Arabidopsis thaliana: one gene and its partners. The protein of the gene in region 2 interacts with the protein of the main gene of each other region in a pairwise test. Each region holds a gene or a part of one and is shown on either strand. Other genes may lie near its edges.

Region 1 (4,308 bases), 3.2 Mb from region 2:
TCAGACTGACATGAATTTGAAAACAGAGAGCACAAAAGTGTTAAACCCCTTACTCCTAAAGTTAACGAATTGGTTAAGTTCTGATTAACTTAAAAGTTATACATATAAGAAGCTGTGTCCAAAAATAAATTCACAAAGTTTTAACTAATTAGATAAATACTAATCACATTTATCAAACAAGTAATCCATAAGAAGGTAAAACCCAAAATTAGTGATTCTAAACGCCAATTTCAACATATCTAATCGCAGCTGGTGATCGAAATTCTACAAATACGAGACGAGAACGATTAATCGGATATGAAGGAGTACTCACCGACATTGCTAAAAACCGATATAAACCGGATTGAAACGGAAGATTTTCTGAATTTGAAACGAAAACAGAAGAGAAAATGAAAATCCTAGTAAGGAAAAATCTTTGGCTGTGAGGAAAATACAAAGCGGATTCAATTTAAATACAATTCTCCGGTACGTGTAACCGTCGGGATTATGTTTTTTTTTTTTTGTCTCGCCGGCGACTTCAAGGAAGAAAAAGGTCGTGCTTAGCTATTTCTTTGTCGGGAAAGATTCTAATTAAATTTTAATCATATAGTACTTACGTTTAAAACAAAACAAAAGACGTGACATAATCACATTATCAACCACTATCTGTCGTCCACGTGTCCAAAACCGTTTCTGCTTTTCACATGTAGTAAAGTTTAATAACCTCATCATTGGAAATCTTGCGAAAAAAATGCTGATAAAGTAATTACATTAACACTTTCCATTAGGGCTGGGCAAAATATTCGATCGATCCGCTTCGATTCGGTATTCGATTTGATTTGATTCGAAAAATCCGAATTTCCGTAAGATTTTGGACCAAAGCAAATAGGAAAATGTAGTATTCGTAAAAACCGAATCAAATAGCAAATATTGTTTTTTAAAAAATCAAATATCCGCTTCGATCCGTATCTTTTGATATATATTAGAATATATAGTTATATCTATATATAGATATCATAAATAGTTTGTGTATTGTTGCTACCTTATGTTTTTATGTTAAGATGTTTGTTTGATATTTTTTTTTATGTTATGTTTTGATCAATGACATCAAAAACTATCGAGTTTTAGTTTTTGGAATTAGTTTGATAACATTTTTGTTGACCGGTGATAACAACAAAGGTTATATTTGGTATTTAGAACTTATTTTGAAAGCATGTTAAATAAAAACTTTGAATATCTGATATGGTTATATAGTTTATATATTTTTTTAAAATATTTATACGTATCAAAGCGGATATCCGCAAATATCACAAAAAAATCCGGATATTCGAAATTCCGGATATCCGGAAAGTTTCGAATCAAAGCAAATCATAAAATCAAGTATTCGGTTAAAACGAATCGAATAACAAATATCACAATTTTTCCGAATATTCGCTTCGTGCCCAGACCTACTTTTCATTATTAAACTTTCACCTAAAATAGTTAAACTAAGGGCACCGAACCAAATTGAACTGTTTAAACCGTAGTGGAATCTTATATAAACTGATTTGATTGTATCTGAACTAAACCAAACCAAATAAATGTTTTATTAAAACTTTACATTTTAACTATTTACACATATTGAGAAAAAATATAATCATATTAATATATAAACTAACTAAAAATTATTGTTTATTAACTAAAACTGAATCAAATCAAAAATAAAAACAAACTGACCCAAACCAAAATCTCAATAAACCAAACCAATTGTTTAATTTGGCAAGAAAAACAGAAACGAGGAGAGGTTACTAAATATATAGAAATAAAAGGATCAAAAAGGAAACAACTTTATCTCAGCTTTTTCTTCTCAATTAAAATCAGTTTGGGATTTTTTCGAAAACGCTTTTCAATCTTCGTCTATCTGTCTCCACGATCCACGCCTTGACCTTCGTTTTTTTTTTCTCAGAGATTAGAGAAAACTCCGATAACCAATTTCTCAATCTTTTTGTAGATCCAATTTTTCCAGGAAAAAAAGAGGTTTCGCGAAGAAGATGAGTTTTCAAGATTTAGAATCAGGAAGAGGAAGATCAACGAGGAAATTCAATGGTGGTCGACAAGATTCGACACAAGCCGTTGCTTCTGGAATATTCCAGATCAATACCGGAGTCTCCACGTTTCAGCGACTCGTTAACACACTTGGTACTCCCAAAGATACACCGGAGCTCCGGGAGAAGCTGTATGTTGAAATTGAAATCTAAATTTCATTTGATAAAAAAAATTGAATTTTTGATTTCAATTTTGATTGCTTTTTTTTTTTTGTGGATTCTGAATTTAGAAATTATTATTCGGATTTTGTTGTGATAGGCACAAGACAAGGTTGCATATTGGACAGCTTGTGAAGGATACTTCAGCTAAACTTAAAGAAGCTAGTGAAACTGATCATCAAAGCGGTGTCAATGTAAAGTGGAATCTTTTTCTTCTTGTTTGGTTTTTAAGCGACTCTTTGTTGTGTGTTTGATTGTTGTGTAATTGTGTAGCCAAGTAAGAAGATTGCAGATGCTAAGCTTGCAAGGGACTTTCAAGCTGTTTTAAAAGAGTTTCAGAAAGCTCAACAAACTGCTGCTGAAAGAGAAACCACTTATACTCCTTTCGTGCCTCAATCTGCTCTTCCCTCTAGGTAACGTGACTGATTGATTATATGTGGTTTCATGTATGTTAAGCTCGAATTCGAATTAGAAGTGTGATTATCATAAGCAAAAAGCATCACTTTGTGAATTGTTTGTGTGGTTTTGATAATCATGTTCCTTATTTTTCTTGTCTGACTCCGTATATAGCTATACGGCGGGTGAGGTGGATAAGGTACCGGAACAGCGGGCACAACTTCAGGAGTCGAAAAGGTAGGTGATATCGAAAAAATATTCTTTTACACATCTCTTATATGATGCAACTTATTTTCTCCTTTGCTTGATTGTTGATGCAACTTATTTTCTCCTTTGCTTGATTGTTGTAGACAAGAACTTGTATTGTTAGACAACGAGATTGCATTCAACGAGGCTGTGATTGAAGAAAGAGAGCAAGGAATACAAGAAATCCATCAGCAAATTGGTGAGGTTAACGAGATATTCAAAGATCTTGCGGTTCTGGTTAACGATCAAGGAGTCATGATAGGTAAAGACAATCTATTAAACTTAATTAGAACATGCCCTTGAAGCTGCAGTTAGAGAACTCACTTTTTTCTTTCTTGCAGATGATATTGGTACTCACATTGACAACTCCCGTGCTGCAACTTCACAAGGAAAATCTCAGCTTGTGCAAGCCGCGAAAACACAAAAATCAAACTCCTCTCTGGTAAAACACTCAAAAAAGTTTTCAGACAAAAACAGTGACTGAATGTTTTTTGGAAACCTTAGGCTAATGTGTTGATCTTGTTTACACGCAGACATGCTTGCTCTTGGTGATATTTGGCATTGTTCTCCTGATCGTGATTATAGTACTCGCAGCTTGATTTCGAACAGCAAGAACATTTCGTTTGTGTGTGTTCATTGATCTTAAGGCATCAATGACTGGAACTACTTGGTATATATTATATGTTGAAGAGAACACTTAGAAGTTGGTTTTGTGTTTGTTTGGGTTGGTTCAGTTCGGTTTGAGGTTCTATTGGTTAATGTAATAGTGTGTGCGTGTGTGGCTTTTTTGTTGTGCAAACATTTTGTTGGAGATGACAGAAACTCTGTTTTGTTTGTGATTCTCCTATGTTCTCCTAAATCTTTGTTGAGAGGAAACAAAAACTATTTGCTCAATGAGTGTCACAAAGAAGTTTGAAACCAAAAGCAGAGTCATGACTGCTTCAAGTTTTTACAAGATTCACCCTTTGAGCTCAAAACCGATGCCACGAGTATTGAAAATGCAGAAAAAACCGCAGCGGCGAATGTCAAGGCGGAAACATACTCTGTATGACCCCTGATTCCGGCAGGGATATCCCAGAAAACAGACCTGGTTTCAGTCTTCGATCTGCCAATCGACAAAACCAAACATCTCCTCCGTTCACGTCGCTGGTTTTGTACATGGCTCGAGCACAAGAACAAGTCTGGCTCGCCAAACTCCACTCTAGAGTATCCACTGTCGTCCAGAGGCTGTGGAGATAACAGAGAAGTAAAGATCCAATCTTATTGACATCGACCAAAATAAGACTTAGTTCAAGTGATCATTTACCTGATACCGAGCATGTAAAGGAAGCTTAAAGCTTATTTCACCATTTTCATAATTTCTAGAGCTGATTTCAACATGAATCTCAACGACGGATCTGTTCGATCTAAACGAAGGCAGCTCAAGATTTGTGTCACCAAACAC
Region 2 (4,689 bases):
AACACATTACTGGTAATGAAGGCGACGGGAGTTTTATTACCAGGTGATGATATCGGAAGTGACAGTTTCTGGCAACTAACGTGGCTTCACGTTAATAAGATCTCTCCTTCTCTTCAATCTGAAGTTTTCCCTCAAGAGGAGCTTGATCAGTTTCAGAGACGAAACGCGAAGCCTGAGGATCCTCCGGTACCGGGAAATGAGGTCTGAGACGGTTTTGGTGGAATAGAGAAAATTTGTTCTATACAGATGAAAAAGCTTAATCAAGGATATCAATTTTTTTTTTGCAGTATAGCTTTTTTGTTTTTAATATAGGGGGATTATAATACTTTGGAGTCTTGAGCTTTTGTTTTTTTTATGGAATGTTATGTTGAAATTATGGGTTTGATTGGAAATATATTTGGAGGCAATTTGGAAACTGCTGCGTCTATTATACAAAGAACTTGAAAAATTCAATGGTACTGACAAAGAAAAATGGTACTCATCAAAACCAGAAAAGAAAAGTAAATTTTTGGTCCAAATCTCACTATTTTAATAACATTTTTTAAAAACAAAGAATTAAGAACAAAAACAAAATGACCTATAAAATTTTGGACTCTAATTCTTGGCTTGTGTGACTTTATTAACAGTTAAATATTACAAATTTTCAAACTCTTAAAAATTTAAACTTTATAAAACGTTTTAAATATTTATAATTTATAAACTTTATGAAGTTTTAAATATTATAAATATTTGTTATAATTTTGAATGTTATAAATTTATAAACGAAAAGAACTTGAAAAATTCAATGAAAACGAGTAACGACAAAGAAAAATGATAATCATCAAAACCAAATCTCAATATTTTAATAACATTTAAAGTTTTTAAAAAACCCAAAAAATTAACTAGTAGGCCTGGGCATAATACCCGGAACCGAATATCCGAACCGAAAAACCCGAAAAATAACCAAACCGAACCCGAATCCGATTTTTAGAATTACCCGAATGGGTCCTCGACCTTACTACCCGAAAAAACCCGAACCGAACCCGAACCGAATCTAATACCCGTGGGTACCCGAATACGAATGTAACTTAAATATATTAGTTATATATATATATTTGTAATACCTCAAATACCAAAATTAAAATTATAAATCCGATTATACTAGATTTTTTTAGTAATTCATATATATTTGGATATATTTGGGTAAAAGTAACAAATGTTATAGTTTTCTTTTAGATAATTTAAGTATTTTGGTTACATTTGGTTATATTTGTATAAAAAGTAACCAATATATTTACGGGTAATTGGGTATTTCGGGTTGATTTGGGTATATATGAATAAAAAAACCGAATCTAACCCGAACCCAAAAATATTTTGGGTATTTTTGGTTATTTTTACATTTTTACTAAAATAACCGAACCGACCCAAACCCGAACCGAAACCGAACCGAATTTTTAGAATACTCGAATGGTTCTCAACCTCCTACCCGAATAGACCCAATACCCGGAAAAAAAAACGAACCCGAACGGGTACCCGAATGCCCACGCCTCAATTAAGAACAGAAAAAGAAAAAAACTAACTTTCAGTGACCTATAAAAGTTTGGGCCCTAGAAGAGTCTTTTCGCAACACCAAAAATGGCAGATCCGCAAGCCCAACAAGGCAGTGGCATTGCCAAAAGATCTGGACAAAAAAAAGGCCAAGTGGTGTACAAAGCCTAGATGTAGGATATAATTACTCAACCGTCGAACATATTTTCCATAGATCATTCATAGACGTACGCATCATCAAATCAATTCATCGTCGTCTTCCACAATTGTCATCACCGATCGATTTTCCGACTCCGACGTACCTCCTCTTCCCCGTTACCTTCTCAGGTCTCAATCTGGCTTTCTCTATTTTTCGCCTAATTCCTCTTTTTCTGATTGTGATTCTGCTTTCTAATTTTGATCCTAATTTTTTGTGCTTATACTCCGGCTAAACTCTTCCATTTGTTCCGATCACCGGAATTTTCGTCACTTATTCGTCATCCTTTTTCTCTTTTGATCCGTCAATTTTACTTTTCTGTCTTTTTTTTTTCTCCTTTTTCCCCGTGTTGACATTTCTTTCTTCTGTACGTGATCTAGTTATCTTAGGGTTTTGGACTGCTATACAAAACAATCAATTGATTTTAGTTTTATCTTTTGAATCGTTGTAAGAATTTCAATAGCCTAGTCTTGTTGATGGTTTTGGGCTATTGAATCTGTTCTTAAAGTTTCAGCTTAATGTAATCTGTTCTTAATCAGAATTAGGGTTCATCATCATTGTGTGTGTTGCTGATTCTGCAGAGTTTTTAGTAGTCTTCCTTTGGAACAATGAGTGACGTGTTTGATGGATATGAGCGACAATACTGTGAGCTCTCGGCGAGTCTTTCAAAGAAGTGTTCCTCTGCTATTTCGCTTGATGGAGGTAAAATTGTTACTCTAATCTTTTCTAAGATGTGATACTTTTCCTACTCAGGCATTGCCTTACCTTCCTTAAGATTTGAAATAACTAATTCTGGTTTAGCTTATGAATGTAACAATGTACGAATTAGAGATATCTTGGTTTGTGTTTTTGATGCAGAGTATTGTGCGATTTAGATCCTTTAATTACTACTTCGTTGTAAGGACATAGTATTGGTTTCTGATTACGAAGAGAGCTTGTGATTAGTATTGGTCGCTGATCATCGCCATTTTTTTACACTGGGGATACTTCGGTTTTTGTTTGTTACTGAGAACGATTCTATAGATAGTTTGGTTTGTGTTTGATGACTATAAACTTCTTGTCTCCTTCATGTGTTGCTAGGACATAGTAGTGTGCCTTTCTTTTGCTTTCTTTGGAGATTGTGATTAGTAGTGTTCGCTGATCATCGGGATTGTTTTTTTTCCCCTAGATGAGTATGCTCTGTTGATTGCATAGATAAAAATGCATTGATGATACCTTATTAATTTGCAGAACAAAAGAAGCAGAAGTTGTCTGAAATAAAATCCGGGCTGGAAAATGCAGAAGTATTGGTATGTGATATGCGTAACGTGAAGTTATAGAAGCTTCTCTATTGTCCATTATTCATTTTGATGCTTCTCTGTCCTTTTCTTCACCAGATTAGGAAAATGGATCTCGAGGCAAGGACCCTTCCACCTAATCTTAAGTCCAGCCTCCTTGTCAAATTAAGAGAATTCAAGTCTGATCTGAACAATTTCAAAACTGAAGTGAAGAGAATCACATCTGGACAGTTGAACGCTGCTGCTCGTGATGAGTTGCTAGAAGCTGGTATGGCTGACACAAAGACGGTATGTAAAGGACTCGGTAGTATTGTTTCAATTTTATCTCATCTCATATCTTTGCTATTAAAACGACCTATGATTTTCTTTTTTTATTGAAACGCTGAGATCAGGCTTCAGCTGATCAGAGAGCAAGATTGATGATGTCAACTGAGCGTCTGGGCCGAACCACTGACAGAGTCAAGGACAGTCGTAGAACAATGATGGAGACTGAAGAAATCGGTGTTTCAATCCTCCAAGACTTGCACGGTCAGAGACAGTCTCTCTTACGTGCCCACGAAACGGTATTGTCTCTCTGCAACACATTTACTCCATATTCTCAACGATATTCTGAACAAAGTGACAAAATAAGATGAGAATTAAGGGCTATATCATAAAGAAGACTATGTTTTCTTGTTTTCTTTATCAACGCTGGATTGATATCGCGCTAACCAAAATTTAGAACTCTGTTGACAGCTTCATGGAGTAGACGATAACATTGGAAAGAGCAAGAAGATCTTGACAGACATGACGAGGAGGATGAACAAGAACAAATGGACCATTGGAGCCATCATCATCGCATTGATTGCCGCCATTTTCATCATCTTGTACTTCAAACTCACCAAGTAAGCCTCTGTAACTAAATCCGACCAAATCAAAGAACAACGGTTGTTTTCGTTTTGTGAGTCTTTGATTTATCCTGTTTCTTCTTTTTGTGTGAAAAGTTGTTTTGCCACCTTTGTATTCTAAATTTGACCATACATACTTTAAGCAAGTAAAGCTTCGGCCTAAGTGTCACGTATATTGTTTATATTGTTCATATCAAATCCAGAACTATACATGGTTAAACATTGAGATTAAAAGCCTCAATTATTTCAAACAATCGAGGTCTACATCTCGCACAATTGTTCATATATTGGATCTAGAACTATACATGATCAAACATTGATATCAATTACTAGTGTTTTTTTCTTTCATATTTGAATTTGCTATAATCAGCGACCAAGCTCTCAATAACCCTATGCTTCATGTTATCCACCAAACCGGCCAAAATCTGTAAAGGGCCAATCAAAAACATAAATCATGTATAAACCCGGAACACAGCATTTTGAGTCTCCAATCGCATATATGAAACAAGACAGTTTCTTACCGCATTGGCCATGTTTCTCCTAACATCTTCTGGTACAAGCGCGAGAACTGAAGGAAGCACGAAGCTAATGGTCGTTTCTAGTCGACCTTTGAGCCTCGTGTGCCTTCCACGCCGGTCTGGGTATAATGCTCCTTTTACTCCAAGAGTGAAATCAGTTGGTTCCATTACTCGGTCAAGCCCTTGAAGCTCCCATTTCGTCTGAAAATCGTAATTCAAATGTTAAATCAATAAAAATTCTGACTAGTGAATTTGTGATTCATGTGGTGGTACAAATATAATAT
Region 3 (4,699 bases), about 10 Mb from region 2:
GTTAGAAAAAGAAAACAAAAACAAAGCTCAGAGTCAGTAAGTTTAAGAGAACTGTATCTAAATTTGCTGAGAAAAAGCTTCGGAAGTTAATTGATCAAAAAAAGCTTTAAATGTCAAAATTTTGAAATCAAAGAACAAGGAAACAATATCACTAACCTTTGGATATCGATGCTTTCAACTTCACCAGAGAAAGAGAAAAACTCTTTAATATCATGCTCAGTTGCTCCTGAAGAGAGATTGCCAACTTTTACTGACCTTACCTGTGACTGTCATCATAAAGAATCAAAAGGGAAAGAATCATTAACGAAAACAATAAACAGGTGTTTCATGAGAATGTTTACAGTACAACTACTTTTTGTATCCAAGCATATCTAATCGACCGAAAGTCCCATTTTAATCAAATCAGCTCAAACTCAAAGAAGCCTAGATTTATCACAAGATTATACAATTATGCAAGTAAAGGGATAATATTATAGTGGCTTAGAAGATGACTGTCATCATCTCACTATACAAAAAGAAAACTCGAATGAACCATGAAGGCTACCAATTAAGGAAACTAATCGACAATGTATGGAGGAATCTAAAAGTAAATTGGCTAGCGAGATTCGGTTCCAAATTGAGAATAACACAATCGCGATTTACTACGATAAACGAAAACCAAAACCGAGAAATCAAGGAGATAATAGAGATAATTGCACGAATACAGATCACACAGAGATACAGAATCAATTAATAACGACAATAATAATCATCAAACTCGTCCAAATAGCATTGGAGATATTATGTCGGCAAGTGCAGCAATCAAACAACAGATCATCCAAATTGAAGAAGAAATCAAATCAATAGCCAAAAATATCAATCCTGAGAAAATTTCCCGATAAACAAATGGATCGCAACAATATCTACCAGCAGAGGAAACCTAAACCTTTTCCGCATAAAACAAAATTATACACAAAAAAAAAGTAGAGCATACCGCCATGGATGTTGATCTTCGAAGTCGCGCAGAGAGAGAGATATGTAATTTGTTGCTTTTGTCACGCAGATTCAGAGATTGGCCTGAAAACCGAAACGTACTTCGAGATCGATGATGCGTAGATAGATAGAGAGGGAAGAGTGTATTTTGCTTTATATGACACCTCACACTCAACGTGTGGGTTTGCGTTACGCCCTTTAATCCTATTTTAGTCCCTAATTGTTTCCAACAATTAATATTTTCACTTTTTTAGTATATATTTCTATTTTTTCCCTCTTCAGTTCAAAACAAAAGTTAGGAGTTTCGTAACACAATTATTAAGTTTATGTTTTATTAGAAAAAAATACATAAAAATTTTACTTTTTATCAACAAAAATATATCATTGTTTTTCTATAAAAAGTGGTTTATGTATCAAAGTGATTACTGTAATTATTAATTCAGTCATAAAATATGATAACTTGGTAATTACAAAAAAGTTGGACTTCTCCTTGTTTTTGGCCCAACTCTTCTCTTTTCCTTTTACTAAACTCCAATGTAGCCCAAAATCATTTAACCAATCCTTATCCTGCAAACCCACTCAATTGGTCCGGTTTACTCGAACCGAGTTTCAATTTTACACGGAAGGGCAGGTGAGGTCAACAACGACACGCAGGATTCTTCCCTCGCAATGGCGTGTCACCGCCAAATAATTTATACGTATTAATAAATTCCCTCCACCACCATATTCACGCGGACCACATGAGATTAAATGATTTATACAAATTATAAAACAAAAATTAACATTAAATTTTGGGAAAACTTATAATTCACCTAACTCATTTCCATCATCTTCGTCTTCGTTTGTTCCCCTGAGATAGAGATAAGAGAATTTCGAGAGATTCGAGAGAAGAGACGATGAGTTTCCAAGATCTCGAAGCTGGTACTCGATCTCCGGCGCCGAATCGTTTTACCGGTGGGAGACAACAGAGACCTTCGTCTCGTGGGGATCCATCTCAGGAGGTCGCCGCCGGGATTTTCAGGATCAGCACGGCTGTCAATTCCTTCTTCCGCCTCGTTAATTCGATCGGAACACCTAAAGATACTCTTGAATTACGAGATAAGCTGTCAGTAGCAATTCTTAATCACACTCTTCTTCTCTTTGTTAAATCTCTGTTGATTAGGGTTTTGGTTTTACTTATTGATTTTGGTCGATTTCATTTCAATTTTTAATTGAAAAAGTTTTCTAATTGTTTTGAAGCTAATCCTGCATTATTTTCCCTTAACCGAAGAACAAATTTGAGTTTGCTGATCGATGTGAGACAACATTGCAAATAATGCCTGACAACATTGCAAATAATGAGCTTTTTGTGTGTGTGTGTGTGTGTGTGTGTATTGAGAAATTGTTTTTTTTTTAGATTGGTTTCATCTATTTGTTCTGTGAATTGTTTTAAAGTGTTAGGTTCTTTTGTTGGCAGGCAAAAGACAAGGTTACAGATATCCGAATTGGTGAAGAATACTTCAGCTAAACTTAAGGAAGCTAGCGAAGCCGACCTTCATGGATCAGCTAGTGTAAGCAAATGCTTACTTTTTTGTTTCATTCCCTTACGATGCTATGGAATGTTAGTGTCTAAGAGAACATTTTCTATTGAACCAGTTTTATTTTGGTTTAATTTTGTCAGAATCGTACCATTTTATTCATTTAGTGGGAGAATTGTTTACATGATTGATGATATGTGTATTCTAGTTTTGATGTTATGTTTGTATTCTTGCAGCAAATTAAGAAGATAGCTGATGCTAAACTGGCAAAAGATTTCCAATCAGTTCTCAAAGAGTTTCAGAAAGCTCAGAGACTTGCAGCTGAAAGAGAAATAACATATACTCCTGTGGTCACAAAAGAAATACCTACCAGGTAACCACTTTGACCAGTTATGTTTCAATACCTGTTAAAAAACAGAAGATCATGGTAAATGAATCTCGTTGTTTCCTAAATGAGAAGAAAAAAAGTCTCCGGATTATATACTCGCATGTTATTATTGTTGTTTTGTACAAAAGAATTTTTGAACGTAGGATTGTTCTGATATTTTGTGGAATGTGAGTTTCACTTACACATGCTTCATTGTCATGCCACACCATGCAGTTATAATGCACCTGAACTGGATACTGAATCTTTAAGGATCTCCCAGCAGCAAGCTCTTCTTCTACAATCAAGAAGGTGAGGAGTGTGATTTGATTATATGCTAGCATGTTATTTTACTAATTCATTTGATCAATTATAAGCATAAACCAAATGTTAGTCTAGCATGCATTTTGCTCTCGAGAGTTCAAATTCAAACCATCGTTACACTTGGCACTCACTGTAGCCTGAATTGTTAATAGAAGCCTTAGAATAGGTTAATAAATTTTTCGAAGTTGGTTATGTCCCTGGATGCAGGGAGATGCTTGCTATTCGCTAACTTTTTATATTCTCATTCCAGGCAAGAAGTGGTGTTTTTAGATAACGAGATAACATTCAATGAAGCAATTATTGAGGAAAGAGAGCAAGGGATTCGAGAAATTGAAGACCAGATTCGTGATGTGAATGGCATGTTCAAAGATCTAGCTCTTATGGTGAACCATCAAGGAAATATTGTCGGTAAGTAACTCCAAACAATCAGAAATTGTAAATCTCCCTGTTCGTTTTCTCTTTGCCTTTTTAAAGTCTCAGAAAAAAACTATAATGTGCACTGGCAGATGACATCAGCTCTAACCTTGACAACTCACATGCTGCAACTACACAAGCCACTGTTCAACTCAGAAAAGCAGCTAAAACTCAAAGATCAAACTCCTCTTTGGTACGGACTAAACAGACTCTCTTCTCATTTTCAGTTCTGTGATTTCATATTCTTAGCAGCTTAAGCTAAGTTTGTTGTCTTTTACTTTGTTGCAGACATGCCTACTTATTCTCATTTTTGGGATTGTTCTACTCATTGTCATCATCGTTGTCTTGGTCTAAGCATCAAACATATAACTCCAAGCTTCAATCTTCAAGCATCAAGCGAATCTATGGAAACTATACAAAGACCCATTAAAGATATATATCTAATGTACAGATTCTTTATACTCCATCTTCCCCATTCAACCAAATTGATCTTAACTTCTCATCGTGTGAATGTTTAATCAATGTATTACTCCATCATAAGGATCTTCATGATCAAAAGAAATAAACATAAGAAAATAATCTTGATTTTTTGGTCATTAACCGGTCAGTGACCAACAGATTACCGTACTAGTGAGATGATAATTGAACAAGATGAACGTTTTCACACAAAAGTATAATATAAACAACACAAAAACCGATCTCTACTAACTATTCACAAGCTTGGTGGTAAATCTTTTATGTTTCTTCTCTCTGTTTTTTTTTCATTTAAGTAAAAATGTAAAGGGTATACACACCATCTGATATATTCCTCGTTCCTTCATATCTCCTTTTGCAACCTCCCCTGAAAATCTACATTGTGAGAGACAATTGATAACTCTCAAGATATACAACAATGCAGAGAAACATGTTTGAACTTAACGATGTTCTTACCTTTATTTCCTCTGTGCTTCTGAGGAAAGCAGTCCCATTTGTTCAGTAAGATACTTCATTTGTTGTTCATTACGGGTCCACTCGTTTGGTTCTTGTTCCAATACCAAGTCATTATTCTCCACTGATCCTGATAGAATATCGTCTGTATCTGCAATCGCTGGGAGTTCAACAGAAAAGA

Evidence for each region. Proteins that work in one complex are often made in the same cells at the same time.
Region 1: the proteins of SGR4 (region 2) and VAM3 interact in binary tests that used the Arabidopsis thaliana proteins (3 or more experiments, as listed by UniProt).
Region 3: the proteins of SGR4 (region 2) and SYP21 interact in binary tests that used the Arabidopsis thaliana proteins (3 or more experiments, as listed by UniProt).

Annotation. Positions count from the first base shown.
Region 1 is NC_003076.8:19,011,497-19,015,804, reverse strand, and holds VAM3 (Syntaxin/t-SNARE family protein), read left to right. Parts: upstream 1-1,694; 5' UTR 1,695-2,009; coding exon 2,010-2,194; intron 2,195-2,322; coding exon 2,323-2,416; intron 2,417-2,495; coding exon 2,496-2,635; intron 2,636-2,792; coding exon 2,793-2,855; intron 2,856-2,968; coding exon 2,969-3,126; intron 3,127-3,205; coding exon 3,206-3,306; intron 3,307-3,397; coding exon 3,398-3,463; 3' UTR 3,464-3,784; downstream 3,785-4,308. Other genes in the region: AT5G46870 (RNA-binding (RRM/RBD/RNP motifs) family protein), read right to left, coding at 314-319; AT5G46850 (phosphatidylinositol-glycan biosynthesis class X-like protein), read right to left, coding at 3,795-4,091, 4,171-4,308. UniProt on the Arabidopsis thaliana protein: May provide the t-SNARE function in the vacuolar assembly. Promotes the formation of vacuolar membrane 'bulbs'. Required for inflorescence stem gravitropism.
Region 2 is NC_003076.8:15,819,704-15,824,392, forward strand, and holds SGR4 (Vesicle transport v-SNARE family protein), read left to right. Parts: upstream 1-1,589; 5' UTR 1,590-1,854; intron 1,855-2,304; 5' UTR 2,305-2,331; coding exon 2,332-2,425; intron 2,426-2,515; exon of another isoform or gene 2,516-2,734; intron 2,735-2,953; coding exon 2,954-3,012; intron 3,013-3,099; coding exon 3,100-3,288; intron 3,289-3,392; coding exon 3,393-3,563; intron 3,564-3,735; coding exon 3,736-3,888; 3' UTR 3,889-4,137; downstream 4,138-4,689. Other genes in the region: GNL1 (GNOM-like 1), read left to right, coding at 1-207; AT5G39520 (hypothetical protein (DUF1997)), read right to left, coding at 4,217-4,312, 4,409-4,606. UniProt on the Arabidopsis thaliana protein: Functions as a v-SNARE responsible for targeting AtELP-containing vesicles from the trans-Golgi network (TGN) to the prevacuolar compartment (PVC) and mediates liposome fusion. May be also involved in retrograde traffic to the cis-Golgi.
Region 3 is NC_003076.8:5,532,322-5,537,020, reverse strand, and holds SYP21 (syntaxin of plants 21), read left to right. Parts: upstream 1-1,725; 5' UTR 1,726-1,868; coding exon 1,869-2,077; exon of another isoform or gene 2,078-2,428; coding exon 2,429-2,522; intron 2,523-2,725; coding exon 2,726-2,862; intron 2,863-3,090; coding exon 3,091-3,165; intron 3,166-3,427; coding exon 3,428-3,585; intron 3,586-3,683; coding exon 3,684-3,784; intron 3,785-3,879; coding exon 3,880-3,945; 3' UTR 3,946-4,175; downstream 4,176-4,699. Other genes in the region: BPA1 (binding partner of acd11 1), read right to left, coding at 157-266, 974-979; HSF3 (heat shock factor 3), read right to left, coding at 4,524-4,699. UniProt on the Arabidopsis thaliana protein: May function in the docking or fusion of transport vesicles with the prevacuolar membrane.